Alligator mississippiensis: one gene and its partner. The protein of the gene in region 2 binds, or shares a complex with, the protein of the main gene of each other region. Links are inferred from orthologs where the notes say so. Each region holds a gene or a part of one and is shown on either strand. Other genes may lie near its edges.

Region 1 (7,179 bases), on a different chromosome or scaffold from region 2:
GAGGATGTTCATCAGCTCCGAGGCGCTCACCTCCATGTCCTGCCGGGGGGGCAGAAGGGGGTCACCCCCTGCCCCAGTGCCCCCCACCCCCCCAGCTGCACTCAGCTGCCCAGTGTAACCCAGGGCCCAGCTCCACCCCAGAAGCAGCTGCATCCCGGCAGGGTGTGGAAGGGGAAGCCTTTTGCAAAGGATTGTGGGATGGTTTGGGTCCATCTGGGCCCCATAGCTGCGGGGGCCCGGGGAGGTACTCACATCTCCAGCCAGCTGGGTGAAAAGCCTCCGAAACTGCCGCACCTCCTCGCTCTCATTGGCTTCGATGTTGGAGAAGTGGCTGCGGGGGGGCTGCGGGGGCAATGGGGGGTGTCAGGACATCTCTCCCCCTGCCTGGGGATGCATGAAGCCCACGAGGGGCTAGCTCCCACCCGCCAAAGGGTCGCAGACGCCCCCCCAATCCCTTCAGGCACTGATGTCAAGGTCTTGGGGAGGGGGCCTGGGGTCAACACCCCCACAGGGGGTTAAAGGGGCCGTGCACTGGATCTGAGCCCCTTTTAACTTGCCCCAGTCTTTACTGTAATTACCTGCCTACCATGCACACCCCTCATTAAAAATTCTCCTTCTAAAACTGGGGGGTGGGGGGCGCTGGCTGCCCCTAGTCTCTCTGCTCCTATTTCACAGGCTCCTGCCTCGGGTGGGCTCAAAAATCAGGAGCAGGTCTTATGTGGAAGGGGGAGGGGGGCAGCATGTGGTACACTAGAAGATACGGTAGCGAGGACCTTGTGTGTGTGTGGGGGGGGTCTAGGGACCCTGCATCCTACCGTACCTCCTCGCATACAACGCGCCACGTTGCAGCCCAGCTGTGGGCACAGGGGGAGGATGGCTGGGTCCTCAGGACAGCAGGTTTACCCCCCCCCCACATTAGGCAAGACATGCCAGGACCCCGGTGGACCCCCCCCCACCCCATCTCTCACGTGTCCACAGCAGGTCACTGGGTCTTACCGGGGGCTCTGGGTTATACTGGGCAGCCGCTTCACTGCGGGGTGGGGGGAGAGAGGGAGAGAGAGAGAGAGAGAGAGAGAGAGGAGCGGTGAGGAGAGACCAGGCCCATGCCTCAGTTTCCCCATGGCTACAACAAGCATCGGGCCCCCTCCCGCCGCACTCGGAGCTGTGCAAACACAGCAGGAGAGAGGCTGTGCCCGGCTCTGGGGGGTCCCGACTCCCCCAAAGGATGAAAACTACATGGGGGAAGGAAGACATGAACCCCACGCCCAGCCCCCGCCTCAGGCGCCGGACAAGGCAGGTTCAGAGGGGGAGACAGAAGAGGAAACTGAGGCATGACAGACCCGGTCGGTCTGAGGGGTGGAGTGGGATTGGGTCCTGGTGCTGGGCGCAGAAAGGCCGAGTCTCCCCCCAGAAGTGGGCGCATTTCAGAGCCAAGTGGGGGGGGAACACCGTGCAACCAGCCACAAGGGCCCACCCCAGAGGCGGGCGCATCCCAGCACCCGGCCCAACCAGTCCGAGACAAAGCAGGGTGGGGCTGTTCAGCGGACCGGAGCCCCCCGCCCCCCCATGCTGAAACCAACCCAGCCCCACCCAGAGACCTGGGGGGTAGCCAGCAGGAACAGTCCTAGCCCCGGGCCAGGCCCCACCCCAGAAATGGGTGCGTTTCATTGCCAGCTGGGGGAGGGGGGGTGAGGAGGAAATCCCTCCTTGAACAGCTGCCAGGCTCCAGCCAGGCCTGCCATGAGTTTGCCAGGTCTCAGCCCCCCCCCACGTTGAACGGGGGTCCGCAGGCTGGCCTCCCCCTCACCCCTGGGGGGAGAGGGTGTTGGGCTTAAGTGCTGTCCTGCCCCGTACCTCAGTCCCCCATCCCCCCCAACTGAACAACAGGGGGGTATTGCTGGGCCTCATGCATCAGTTTTCCCACCTGGAAAATGGGTGCACGTTACCTGGCTCTCCCCCTCTAGCACTCACCTGATGGCACTGATGACTCCCCCCAGGAAGTTCATGGCTCCTCCGCCACCGCCGCCGCCCCGGCCTCCGCCCCCACCCCCACCGCCACTCAGCAGCCCCCCGATGACGTTGCCAATGTTGCCCCCGATGCCGCCGCCGCCACCGCCGCCTCCTCCTCCACCGCCGCCGCCACCGAGGAAGCTCTTGACCAGGAACATGGCGCTGGGCTCAGCTGGGCACCGGCTGCAAGGCAAAGGCACCGGTCAGCTCCGCCGGCCTGGCCCCCCGGGCTCTCTGGGGGGTGCACCGGGGCTGGGGAGTGGGGAGGAGTGGTTAGAGCCCTGCTCGGCAGCGGGGGGGGGGCAGGATGCCCCGTTTCCTGGAAACAAAACACTGTCGGTGCTGGGGGGGGGCTCCGGGACCCCCTCTGCCTCCCCGATCCAGGATTGCCCCCCCATCCCGTCCGCCCAGCTCCGCCCCGGCCGCAGCCGCAGCCCAGGGCGGGATGACTCGGGGCGTCGGCTGCAGGGAGCGGCGGGGGGGAGGGGATCACTAGATCCCCGCCATGAGGCCGGGGGGGGGGGGTTGATCCCTGCCACCCCTCCCCCGTTGGAGAGAGGGGAGCGGATCCCCGGGTCTGTCCCGTCCCCCCACGAGCCATGGGGTGGATCTGGTGCGGGTAACGGCGGATCCCTTGGAAGGGATCCAGTGCGACAGGAGAACAGGAGGGTGCCGGGGGGGGATCCACTAGGATCGGCTCTATGCTGGGGATAGGGGGGGGTCGCGTGCAGAGAGGAGGCGGGGATCGGGGAGCAAAAGCGGGGGATCCCGGAAGAAAGATCGGGCGGGGGATCCGGGGGGGCCAGGGATCCACTGCGCAGAGAACCCCCGGATTCCGGGGGATCCGGTGCGGGGTAGTACTGCGGGGTGGGGGGGCAGGGATCCCGGGATCGCGTACCTGCGGGTCGGGGCTGCGCGGCTCGGCTCGGCTCGGCTCGGCTCAGCACGGCTCGGCTCGACTCCGCTCGGGCCGTGCGGGGGGCGGGGGGGCTGCCACGCCCGAGCCAATCACGCCGCCGCCGGGTCCTAGCGCCCGCGGCCCTGCTCCCGGATCCGGCGTCCGGCTCCACCCCCCATTGCCCCGCCCCGCCCCCCGGGCACCCGGCGTCCTGCCCCACCCCCCACACTGCCGCGGGCCGGACTTGGGGGGGGGGGGGGGAGGATTGCCAGTGGTTAGAGCAGACCCGGCCGGACTCCGGATCGGGCCCCCCAAGGGGGGGGGGGGGGGCTCTGACTCAGCCACTTGGCATGGGGGGGTGGGGCTGTGCGTCATCGCCCACGTGGTCGGTTCCCGCGGGGTCTGCGAGGCAAAGCGTTAACCCTTCCCGCGCCGCAGCCCCCGAGCTGGGGAAGGGGGGGCATCGCTTTAGTCCCGGCACGTGGGGAAACTGAGGCACGGCGGGGAGGGTGGGGGGGGAGACCCCAGGGGTCCGGGGCCCGATCCTGGCATCAGGGTGCAGGGGCGGGCTGTGGGGGGGCTCTTTGCCCCGGTCCCTAAAGACGGGTAAAATAAGGGTAAAATGAAGGGTCTTGGCCCCTCTGCCAGGCCGGCACTTTGCCGCGGTCCCTTGAGGCCCGCTGGAGGGGGGCGGGGGCAAGCTCTTCGCTTTTCCCCCGGGGCGGCACTTTTGCCCCGGTCCCTTACGGACCTGGCATCCCTCTTCGGCGCGGCCCGCACTTGACGCCGGTCCCTGGAGGGGGCTGTGGGCGGAGCTTATCGCCGGAAGCGGGGGCGGGTCTTTCCCGGCGGAAGCAGGGGGCGTGGCCCGCGCTGGCCCCGCCCCGGCCGTGACGCGCCCGGAAGAGGATGGCGGCGGCGGGGCCGTGCCGGGTGCTGCGGGTCGTGGCGTTGTTGCTGCCGCTGGCGCTGCCCGGGCCGGGCCGCGGGGCTGGGGCCGAGCCGGGCCGCTGGGACCTCGGCGCCACCCTCGTGAGTCACCCGGGGGCGGGGCCTGGCGCGACGGGGCGGGGCCTGGCGCGACATGGCCCCGCCCACAAGCGCGCACGTGGGCGTGGGCCCCGGGGGCGGGGGTCGCGACCCGGAGCGACCCCCCCGCCGGCCCCTATAGGCGAGGGTGTTCCCCTCTAGCCCCCCCCCGGCCCCTATAGACCTGGACCCCCACGAGACACCCCCTCCCCTATAGACAGGCACTTGCCCCTTGGTCCCCTGTAGCCATGGACCCCCCCCAGTTCCTTATGGAGAAGGATCTTCCTGGTCCCCTATAGGCAACCCCCCCCATCCCCTATAGGCAACCCCCCCCATGGTCCCTAATGGAGACGTCCCCTCCTTTTGGTGCCTTATCGATATAGGTCCCTTTTTGGTCCCCTATAGACGTGCATCCCCCGATCCCTCTGTAGATCAGGATCTACCTTGTGCGTGGTCCCCTATAGACACCGCCCAGTCCCCTACAGATACGGACCCCCCCCCCGGTCCCTTATAGACAAAGATGGTTTCCTATCTCAGTCCCCTATAGACGAGGACTATCCTTTTATCCTGTATAGACATAAACACCCCCCATGTTCCCTATACGCAAGGAACTGCCCCCCCATCCCCTATAGATAAGGAACTCCCCCTGCCAGTCTCCTGTAGACATGGACTCCCCCAGTCTGCTATAGGAGTGGACCCCCCCACTCACCTATAGACAAGGACCCCTCGCTTCGATCACCGACGGACGTGGCCCCATATAGGCGCTCTCCGTACCGTATAGAGAGGGTCCCGGTTGCATTGCGAGGGAGGGGCTCTATAGGAGGAGGGCTGTCCCAGGCCCCTATAGATGTGGGAATGGAGAGACAGCAGGAAGCCTGCTTTGCCCCAGGGCATTGTGGGAAGTCAGAAATTTCTCTACCATATCTTTGGGGGAGATCACTGCCTGTTTAACATGCAAATTTATTGCTGGCTCATTTGCATAAGTGGGTGGTAGCCTCCAGTTGCCCAGCGATACGCCCCCAAGCCAGGCGTCCTGCTGCGGGGGGGGGGTTGGGGGGGTTGTTGGCAGGGCCAGATCCTGGTGGGGGAAACTGAGGCACACGGCGGGGTGGAGCAGAGCTGGGAATGGGACCCAGGAGTGTGTGCGTGTGTCCGTCCCCCACCCCCCCCCGAGCAAGAGGCCTGATCCTGCCCGTCTCTGCCCCCAGAACCTCACGGAGCGGCTGTTCATCTTCCCCAAGACCATGTTCGACCAGTCCGTCATCAAGGGTGAGCGCTGCGGCCGGCGCCTCGAGGGGCAGGGAGCGGAAAGCAGAGCAGGGGCTAGGAAGCAGCATGGGATGGGGCAGAAAGCAGAGCACGGGAGCGGGTTGGGGGGTGCCTGCAGCGGGGGGTCACTGACCAGCCCCTCGTTAACAGTGGTGCTGTCCTGCCCCCACGGCCTCAGCCTGAACGTCACCTGGTACCTGCGCAGCTCCCGCTGTCACGACGAGGTCGCCCTCAATGTGAGCCCCCCGGCCGGGGTCGGGGGGGGGGGGTTGGGAAGACTCCCGGGCTCTTTCAGAGGGAGGTGGGGCTTGGGGGGGTCGCTCTCCCTGCACCCCCGTCTCACACCCTTCCCCCCCGCCCCCAGGAGAACAAAGCAGGCTTCTACCTGGCCAACCCCGACCGCGAGCTGGTGCCAGGGGGGGCCGGGCAGTACGTGCTCCATCACTTCCCCCTCCTCAACTGCAGCCACATGTCCAGCCACGAGGTGAGAGCCGAGCCGGGGGGGCGGGGGTCCCTGGCCGTGGGGGGGGCGGGGGGACGACACCGCCCCCCCCCCCGGCACCTGCTGCTCTTCTCACCGAGCCTCTGTGCCCTTCCTCCAGCTGAGCACGGAGCGACTGCCCTCCCCCACCCGGCTGAAGCCCTACAGTGACCCCAAGGTAGGGAACTCGGGTGTCCGAGTCCTGCCCGCGTCCCCCCTCCCGCCTTGTTCCCTGCTGCCTCTGGCCCTTGGGGTGGGAGTGGTGCTGGCTGGGTGTTAACGAGCCAGCTGTAATTAGCTTCCTAGCCTGTCAGGCTTCCCAAGCTAAGCTGGGTCAGGCTTGTTCAGAGCTTGAAGGGGAGCCCAATGCATGGGATGCATTTGGGGGCTCCTCCAGGCTTCTTCTTTCACCTCAACCAGCTTCATGTTAAACCCGTTGGGCCCTGGCCCCCACTGGGAAGCAGCCCCAGCTCCTCCCTGCCCTGCCTCAGCTTCCCCCACCTAGGCCAGTGCACCCCCCACCCCCCTCCTCGCCCTGCAGCATTGATGTATGTGGTGGAAGCAGTGGGATCCCTGCCCTGGGGCCTCTCTCACACCCCTGTTTGCTTTGCATGCCCAGAGGGTTCAGCTGAAGGAAAGCACCAGCAGCGGGAAGAAGGTGGGTCTTGGCTTTACCCCCTTGTTAACGACTCTCCCCCTTAGGGAGTCCCGGGGGCAGGATCTTCCCATGCTGCCCCCCCCCCCCTTTTGCATGTCTCTGTGGCAGACCAGGGGCCTCGCTGGGAGGGGGGTTTAGTGCAGAAGTTGCTTCTCTGGGCAGCCAGGGGCTGAGTAGAAGAAGCGCGTTACGTTACCGTAATTCTTCATGTACCGCTCACCTGTCTTGTGTGAGCACCTCATTAACCCCCTGGGAGGTAAAAGGATTAGTAGGAATCAGGATTATGAGCCACTGCCTCTGCCAACCAGCTGCTCTTCAAGCGTGGCTGGGGCAGGAATCAGAGCGGGGTACGACTGCACCACTGCCCTCCCCCCAGCCCTCCCTTGTCCAGGAAGTGTCTACTGCCAGTCTTGTGGGATGCCACACGCTTCCTGGACGCTCTGTCTTTCCAGGAGAACTTCCTCTGTGGCACCAGGCTGTGCCTCTGGAAACATCTCGTTTCCCTCTGTGCTGCTTTCCAAAAACAAGGGGTGGGGCTTATGGGGGGGCACTTGGTACACGGGGAAATATGGTAATGAGGCAGCTTGAATACAAGCTGTTTTCATGCGTGGATGTTGCTGTAACCGCCCAGTGGATGGGTGAGGCGAAGCTTGGATTCCAGGTGGGGTAAACTGAGGCAAAGGTACCGCTCTCTCTCTCTCCAGCAGCCCGTGGGCATTCAGCGGAGGGAAGCCCTGGCCCCCCAGGGTGAGAAGTCCCCCAAGGACAAGGTCGAAGGGCAGAAGCTGGTGCCCACTCGAGCAACTGAGCCCCCCGCCATGATAGGGAAGCGAA
Region 2 (7,756 bases):
GTTTTTAGTACCCTTATCTTGTTCTTAACTCTGCCCCCATGCTTTAGCCCTTCAGGTCAAAAACAGCCTAGTAGGCTCAACAGGATACCAATGCCAGAGTCCTCAGAACTAATATCTACCACATCCTCCCTTTACAACCCTCTAGTTTTTGCCAAGTGAGTTTTTACCTTGAACCAGCCTTTCCATATTATACCAACATATTCATGCAATAAACAGCCTCTTAATCAGGGTTATATACTGTATTCATAAACTCCAACTCTGTCAAAGGAGGACACAGCAAACACCTAACTTACAGCTGTTTTAATTGTTTTAATGTCTTGGATGAAGTCTAACATTAGCCCATAACATTTTTATATTATACTATATATAAAGTTAAAAAAATACAGCAAGCAAAATACTAAACTTTTCATTTTACAATTTACCTTGAATTTATGCAAAGTAGGCAAAGAGAAGAGATACCCATGGTGTACAATTTCAGTTTAAGACTTTCATCACTTTAACATGCTCTATACAGCGTACGAAAGTGCCAGAAAACATGCTCTTTGGTAGCCACACTCACCAACTCTACTTTCTCAACCAGCAAGATATACAAGATTTACAAAAACAAGTGACCCAAGTAAAAAGTTCTCCAGGCTCAAGGACAACATGCTAACAGTGAAACCAATAAACAACAAATCTAATATAAGCCCAAAAGGGAGGAAGTCCCAAAGCAAGGGGCTAGTGAAAAAAAAAAAAATCTATTATCCACTTCAAAAAGCCCAGTTCTTTTTTGAACCAGTTACCAACTAAAACCCAGCACGACAACTACTTCATGCCTTTTGCTTATTCCCCTTCTAAGTTTTGTATGTCTTTCCTTACTTAAGTTATAAGGTCTTCAGGGAAGAACTCTCTCTTACTAGGGGACTGCACAATATCTCACACAACAAGAGTCCAATTTCAGTTGGAGTCATTAAGGGTACTGTGATGCAAATATTTTTGATAATTGATTTCCCATGAAACATGAGTGCAAGTGATTTTCTGACCCTGAAACACATGCTTAGTTTGTTTTAGATTGCTTGCTTTTAGATCCAAAACTCAGTGACTCAGGACAGCAGGGACCCTCCTAGTTTTGTGTATGGATTTTACCGCATGTGTTAGCATTGCACAAAGTTTAATGCAATACTTGCACCTAAATCCAGCTATAACAGCCAACCCAACATCCAGCCCAACACCGGGACTCACAGTTCTAACCACCTTTCATTGACACTGGCTAACTGGTTTGAATTCTGACTCACAATTAGGATTGAGGCTGAAAACTGTTATAACTGTATAATTAGATATTTATGTTCCAGCAAACTCTTCGCAAAGCACATCTAATGTGTCCTAGGATCAGCAATGGTTGCAGGTTTTACTTTAGGAAATTAGTGAATTGAATGTTTGATGGCACAGACACCCTACAACTGCTTCCCTCTGTGACTGACATCAAATTAGAAAAAGCAGGCCTTTTGGAAGATGTAATTGAAGGTTTAGTCAGAGTAATCATTGGATGCTTAAGTACAGAATACAGATTATGCCAAAACTCAAAAACTTGTGGTTTACCTAGGGAGGTCCCAGAAAGATAGAAAGAGTCATTGTAGATCAAGGAACTCCCCACAGTTAGGAACAAGTTTACGAAGCCTATTATCACGCAGGAACTTACTCAGAAAAAGCCACCCAAAACTAACTCTGCCTTAACAACAAGATCTCTCATTTATTTCGGCTTCCCAAATGTTTTGGGCTAAAAGAGAATGAATGCAAGCTCTGTTATAAAGCTATGAAAAGCAGCAGCAAAACTTGTAAAGACAAATCTTTTTCATGTGACAGGTCTTTGCCAAAGTCTCACGTGAGACTTCATGGGCTCTGAAAAGACAAGACCCAACTTTAACAGGTTTTCTACCCAAAATAGGTGCAGGACCTTTGGCAAAACCAAGCCATGGCAAATACAAAAGGGGGTGGGGGGGAAGAGAAAACTGCACCTGAGCCCCTTTTACGCTTGACAAAACGGTGGCACTGGAGCCGCAGGATCCTTTCCGAGCTGCTAGATATCCCGCTCAACATCGGCTTTTAGCTTGAAAGACAAGAGGACGAAGGAACAGGCTACCCAGAGAGAGCTTGGGAGTCTCCATCCTCAGAGGCTTTGAAGATCCGAGTAGATGAAGCCCTGGCTGGGATGACCTAGCTGGGGCTGGTCCTGCTGAGAGCAGGGGGTTGGACTAGACCTCCCGACGTCCCTTCCAGCCCTCATTTTGTAGGGCTCCAGACAGCCGAGAGCGGCCTCTCCTCTGGGCGCAGGTCCGGAGCCAGGCACTAGGCGCCCGCGCCGCGCCGCATCGCGAGCCTCCTGGCACGGAGCCGCCTCCCCTGCGGCCTAGGTGTGCCCCGGCGGCCTCCGCCCCCAGCCCGCAAAGCGCAGCCCGGGTCTTTACCGTGGCGTACCACCAGCGTGCGAAAGCCATCGCCGCCCGCCGGATCGTCCTCGCAGCTGGAGCCGCAATGGGAGCACGGAGCCCAGGCCCAGCCCCGGCCCGCCCCACCCCACCCCACCCCGCCCTGCCCTGCCCTGCCCTGCAGCTACGGGCGGCGCGGCGCTACCCCGCCCCGCCCCGCCTCACACAGCTATGCAGGGCAGGGGCAGGCGCAAGGGCACGGACAGGGTGGGGCCGCGCGCGTCGCTATGGCTGCGGGAGGGGAGGGGCGGAGCTGCCCGCGCCCCACGGGCCGGGGTCGTCCTCCCCCTCACGCCCTGCGCCGGCTGCATGGGGGCGTCGCCGGGCTCGCCTCACGCCCCCTCGCCGCGGCGCCCCCCGCCCCGCCCCGCTCCGCTCACCCCCGGCGGCCGCGCGGCGGCGGGCCCCCGTTTCCCTCGGCCCGGCTGGGACATGTCTCGGCGCTGGCGGAGCGAGGCAGGAGGAAGCGGCGGGCTGGCTCCACCGGGCGTGAAGCGGTTTTTCCGATGCGCCCCGAGCCAGAGCTCCCCGCTAGTCCCTCCTCTTCCTGCGGGTGCTCCGCACCACTCCTCTTTCGGGGCCTCGCCCGCACCAGGCTGGGGGGGGGAGGGATGTGGCTGAGGGCAAGATGCCCGCTGGCGGTTTGTCTTGGCGAAGACACCAGCTCCCCGCTAGGCGACCTGAGAGCCGGCCTCAGTCGCTAGCAGAGACGGGACAGGAGTTGTTGCTTTCTCCTCCTCTCTCTGAGACAAAGCTCCGGCTTCATGACACAAGGCCACCCCCGCCCCCAACTCACCAACCTAGAAGTCGGATCCGATCGGCTGGTTTGTGTTAGGCCTGGCCTCACCTCGGAAAGAAACTTATCTTGGCTAGTTTTAGGGAAACGTTGCCGAGAAGATCGCTTTTCCTTCCTCCTATCCCACCTCCCCAAATGTCCGTGTTTTTTTTTAAAGTACCAAAATCACTCTAAAAACAGGAGGAAAACTAGATCTCTGCCCAGAGTTCAGACCGAACTTGGACTCTTTTCAAGACTTCGAAGGGAAAAAAAAGATGTTGAGAGGGTTACTCTTTCAGGTTTTACATCTCTTGCGCACTTTCCAGATTTAGTTCCCAGTGGAAATCCTGACATAAAACTTCTTGTGAGAAGCCAGGAGTTTTTTTGCAGGTACCTTTTATTGGATTGGCTGGAAAGTAGTTGGGGGAAGATGCTGGACAAGCTTTCAAGCATAACGTGCCCCTAACTTCAGACTTGTGGGGTAACCCCACAGCTCCAGGCTGTCTCCGCGCTGTTCTGCTTTGTGTTGCTAGAGCTTGAACCAGCTCTTGGTCGTGGGAGATCTCTCCTGCCAGCACATCTCAATCTCACAGCAGGACCGTCCCTAGGGGGGGCAAATCGGGGCAACTGCCTGGGGCCCCATGCTTTGGGGGGCCCACGCAGAGCTGAGCAGCCATGGCTCCTCCTGCAGGGCCCGCCTAGTGCTAGTGACTCCACGCCGCCACTTGCTTCATGTCCGGCTGCTTGCCACCCCCCGCCGCTGCCACCACCAGCTTCTTCACATCTAGGTCCCATGCAGACTGCTATTCCCTAGGTCCTGCACCCTTCTAGGGTTGTCACTGCTCACAGGCACTTTGACCAGACCTTATAGTTTGTGAAGGAGATCCAGCAAGGCCTTGGGGTTCCCTGGGTTTGTGAAAATAGGTCTGCTGGCCCCAAGGGACCAAAACATCTGCTGCTGCCAGCTGCTGCTGCAGAATCACTCTCGAGACAAAATGTAAAAGGAAAAGGCCACAACAGGTTTATAGGCAGACAAGGTTCTTGGGGTAAATCCAAAATCTTTTTTCAGACCAACTCAGATCATTGGAAAAATTCTTCTTAAGCTTTCGGGCACAAACCCCCTTCACCAGGCTGAGGAAGCATCTACAGATGGTCTGTGCTCTTCCTGGATGAAGTGAATGAAGAGGTCACTTTACCACTCCATCCAGGAAAAGCAGAGACCATCTGCACATACTGCCTCAGCCTGACGAAGGGGGTTTGTGCCCAAAAGCTAACTAAGAAGAATTTTTCCAACTATTTGAGTTGGTCTGATAAAACCTTGTCTGCTTATGTCCTTAGATCAAGACAGCTACAACCTACACCCCTGAAACCACAGGTTTATTGCCTGCAAGTCCTACTACACATTCAAATTAAAGCCAGATAGAAACTAACTACAGAGCTGTCACACAGTTTCAAGCACTATCTTTATAGCTGGTTGGCTCTTTTTATAGGTGGAGACTCATTTTTATGGTGTGATTAGTACTTTACACATGTAGCTAGTTTAAATTTATTGTGCCATTTGCCAGTTAATTGTGTGATAACTGCTTTGCACTTGTGGCCAGTCTTGCTTTGCACAGGTGACCAGTCTAAATTTATTGGGCAATTAACCAGTTAATTGCATAATATAAGTAATGTGTAGCAGGGGCTTAAGAGAAAAACATAGGGAAAAGATCTGGACACAAAAATACAGAAATAAAACAGAAATGCCTCACTATTCCCTTTTAACTTGAAATAGCTGCCTGGTCTTCTGCTTCAAACAGCTAGCAATCTGCCAACTTCTGGGGTGATCCTTCAACCTCCTTGCTCAGATCTGAAGTTTGGCACTTGGAGTCTTAAAGCTTGATTAACATTTAGGAGCATAACTAACAAGTTTTGCACACTGGGCAAAACGTCCCTGGGTGGCTGTCAGATTCTGAGCACCAGAAATTGAGGTTGGAGGAGAAAAGAAAGGAAAAAGGTCAGTCTTACCTACTCCAGGGACTCAAAGACTGCTGCTGCTGCTGCTGCCATGTCCCTGCACCTAGCCCCTACAGCCAGGGGCATGGACTGCTCTTGCCAGCAAAGTCTTGGGGAGAAGTTACCATTCCAGCACCAAATCCATCTAAATTAGATCCTGGGGTTAGTATCTCTCTCACCCCCTGCTTCTGCAGTTAAGCTGCTGCTAACCAGGGTTGCCAACTGTCAGTAAAACATCAGGCTAAAAATGGCTGTCAGTAAAGTCCACAAAAAACCAAACCATACTGGCGGAAATATAAGTGGGGGGGGGGGTCGACAGGGAAGTCCCATGTACAAATAAACTGAGGGCCTTCTTCTGACCGCACCCCATAGTAAAAACTAGCCACAAGCAAGAATTATGCCCTGTCTAAACTGTAGACAGCTTGAGTATGCAGCAGAGATAGGATGGTGGGTGGGATGGAAAGGAGAAGATAAAGGTGAGGGGATGTCTATAAGTAGTTTAATATATGAATTTAACATAAATCTTTTGTGTGCTCATCGAAAAAATAACTGGTCACAGCAACAGGTCTAACAGATTGTACTGCATTCCTGAGGCTGCAGTGCATAGGATACTCCCTGCTAGCACAGTACTACAGGAAGAGGACAGAACCTGCTTCAGTTCCACACCCTGTATTGCCCTGCTCTTGATAGCTGAAATTTGAGCTCTAGGACTGAAACCATGTGATAAGGCAAGACTATGAGAAACCCCAATAATTGAGGTCATTAGCCTATCAATTATTGATGAGTGGTCAATGTAAGTGCAAATCCCTTAGGCACATGCCTAACTAAGCATTAGAGCAATCCCATTGACAAGTTAGATGTGTATGTAAATAGTCAGACATCTCTCAGAGAGCCCATGGAGCCTTCCAGTTCATTAAATAGTTACTCAAATAGATCTCAACCTACCTCCAAAGTTGTATAACTAAAATGGTATTCATACGTTTGTTTATGTGTTTGGGTAAAACAGTATTTATATGCACAATACAAATGTATATTTTCTAAGTACAGTTATGTATCCCTAACTATGCTTATAACTGGACAGGTTCTGATGATTAAATCTAATCCCTTGCTGTTGCAAGCAAATACAACCTAGAAACTCTTTCATATGCTGATTGTAACAGGGTTCCACTCTAGGGGTGGCTGCAATGCCCCTGGAGCCCTCTTAGCCACTGTGTAGTCTGGCTGTCTTTGGGTATTCTCTCCTGCCACACCTTGATGTTATTCTCTTTTAGAAAAAGGGAGGCTGCCCCAGGGCTTCCCAAGCCTGATCTCATCTCATGAATTTAGGTTTCTGTGCTTACTGGCTTAAGGGCTAATTACATGGCTCCAACCTCCCCTTACACCACACTCACACCTAGCATATGTCAGGAGGAATGAGTGTCACGTGCCCCTCCTGGGCTATGTGATCCCAGCCCCAGTTCTCACCCCTCTCATACTAGAAGTACCTTGGCCCCCTTGGTCCCCAGTTGTGACCTCCTAGTCTTTGGCCCTTTTCTCTGGGCCCTGGCCCTACTCCTAGGCCAGTCAGGACTCATGAGCAGGGACCTGGGTTTGCCGTTTGCTTTGGGGAAACACAGATTTTCTCCTTTGAAGGAGAAAAGCGCAGATTTTCTCCTTTGAGGAAGAAAAATGCAGGAAACTGTGGGTTTCCATTTGCAGGCTGGCAGAGTTCCAGTCTGCAAGGGGCTTCTTGGAGCTGGAGGGAGCAGGATGCAGGGGGCAGGGAGTGCTATGTGCATGTGCACACACACACATGCACGTGGCAGCCAGGCAGTCTGGTGGAGAGCTGCTCCTTCCAGGTAAGTCTAAGCAGGCAGGAGTGGGAGGACACAGACAATGTGTAGAGGGGCAGGGGGGCACAGGCAACATGGTGGGAGGGAGGCAGAAGTAGGGTAGCGGTTATAGGCAACTCAGCATAGAGGCATAGACGATGTGGCAGGGGCCAGGGGGGGACCATGTGCTCTGCCAGATTTCTGTGCCCACAGCGAGGTGTGGGGCATGGGGTCATAGCCTGGCTGGACGAGGTCTGGGCAGGAGCTACCTCCACAGCCCAGTGAGCAGGACTTAGCATAGGAGGAAGTGCCATACCACCCTGACCACCAAGGTGAGGTGCACCCTGCCCACCTGGCAGCAGTGGGGAGCACAACTCCACACTGCTGCCACTGCTGCGCCTCACCTTGGTGGCTATGGTGGAGCTGAGCTCCCTTCTGCACTGAGTCCCTCCTGCTGGGACGCAGAGGTAGCTCCTGCCCTGCTCTGGTATGGCCTGGCCTGGCTGCAGCCCTACACCCTGCTGAGGGCACAGAAATCTGCAGGGGGCACCACCACCCCCTCAACGCATCGCCTGTGTCCACACACCCCCTTCCCCACACACCCACTCCCTTCCTCACACACTGAGGGGGGCTGGGGGCAGGGAGCAGCAGGTCAGGAGTGAGGGGCACCAGCAGGGCTGGTGTAGCTATGGGTTGAGAGTGCTGGCAGG

The links.
Region 1: the proteins of CAST (region 2) and CAPNS1 are in contact, whole or in part, in a crystal structure (PDB 3BOW), measured with the Rattus norvegicus proteins. The link is inferred for Alligator mississippiensis from reciprocal best matches to the Homo sapiens genes CAST and CAPNS1. Residues at the interface, in NP_445747.2 of Rattus norvegicus: Pro652, Ile653, Asp654, Ala655, Leu656, Ser657, Asp659, Leu660, Asp661; in NP_058814.1 of Rattus norvegicus: Phe103, Leu106, Gln109, Leu110, Ile125, Lys128, Val129, Arg132, His133, Leu136, Phe166, Trp170, Lys174, Gln177, Lys181.

What each region holds. Positions count from the first base shown.
Region 1 is NC_081838.1:1,008,536-1,015,714, reverse strand, and holds the start of CAPNS1 (calpain small subunit 1), read right to left. Parts: upstream 3,019-7,179; 5' UTR 2,909-3,018; intron 2,194-2,908; 5' UTR 2,169-2,193; coding exon 1,972-2,168; intron 1,031-1,971; coding exon 997-1,030; intron 343-996; coding exon 253-342; intron 40-252; coding exon 1-39. Other genes in the region: transmembrane protein 87A, read left to right, coding at 3,818-3,940, 5,146-5,206, 5,357-5,442, 5,571-5,690, 5,809-5,865, 6,307-6,345, 7,050-7,179. UniProt on the Homo sapiens protein: Regulatory subunit of the calcium-regulated non-lysosomal thiol-protease which catalyzes limited proteolysis of substrates involved in cytoskeletal remodeling and signal transduction. Essential for embryonic development.
Region 2 is NC_081826.1:238,529,189-238,536,944, forward strand, and holds the start of CAST (calpastatin), read right to left. Parts: upstream 3,005-7,756; 5' UTR 2,900-3,004; coding exon 2,846-2,899; intron 2,549-2,845; exon of another isoform or gene 2,475-2,548; coding exon of another isoform or gene 2,445-2,474; intron 1-2,444.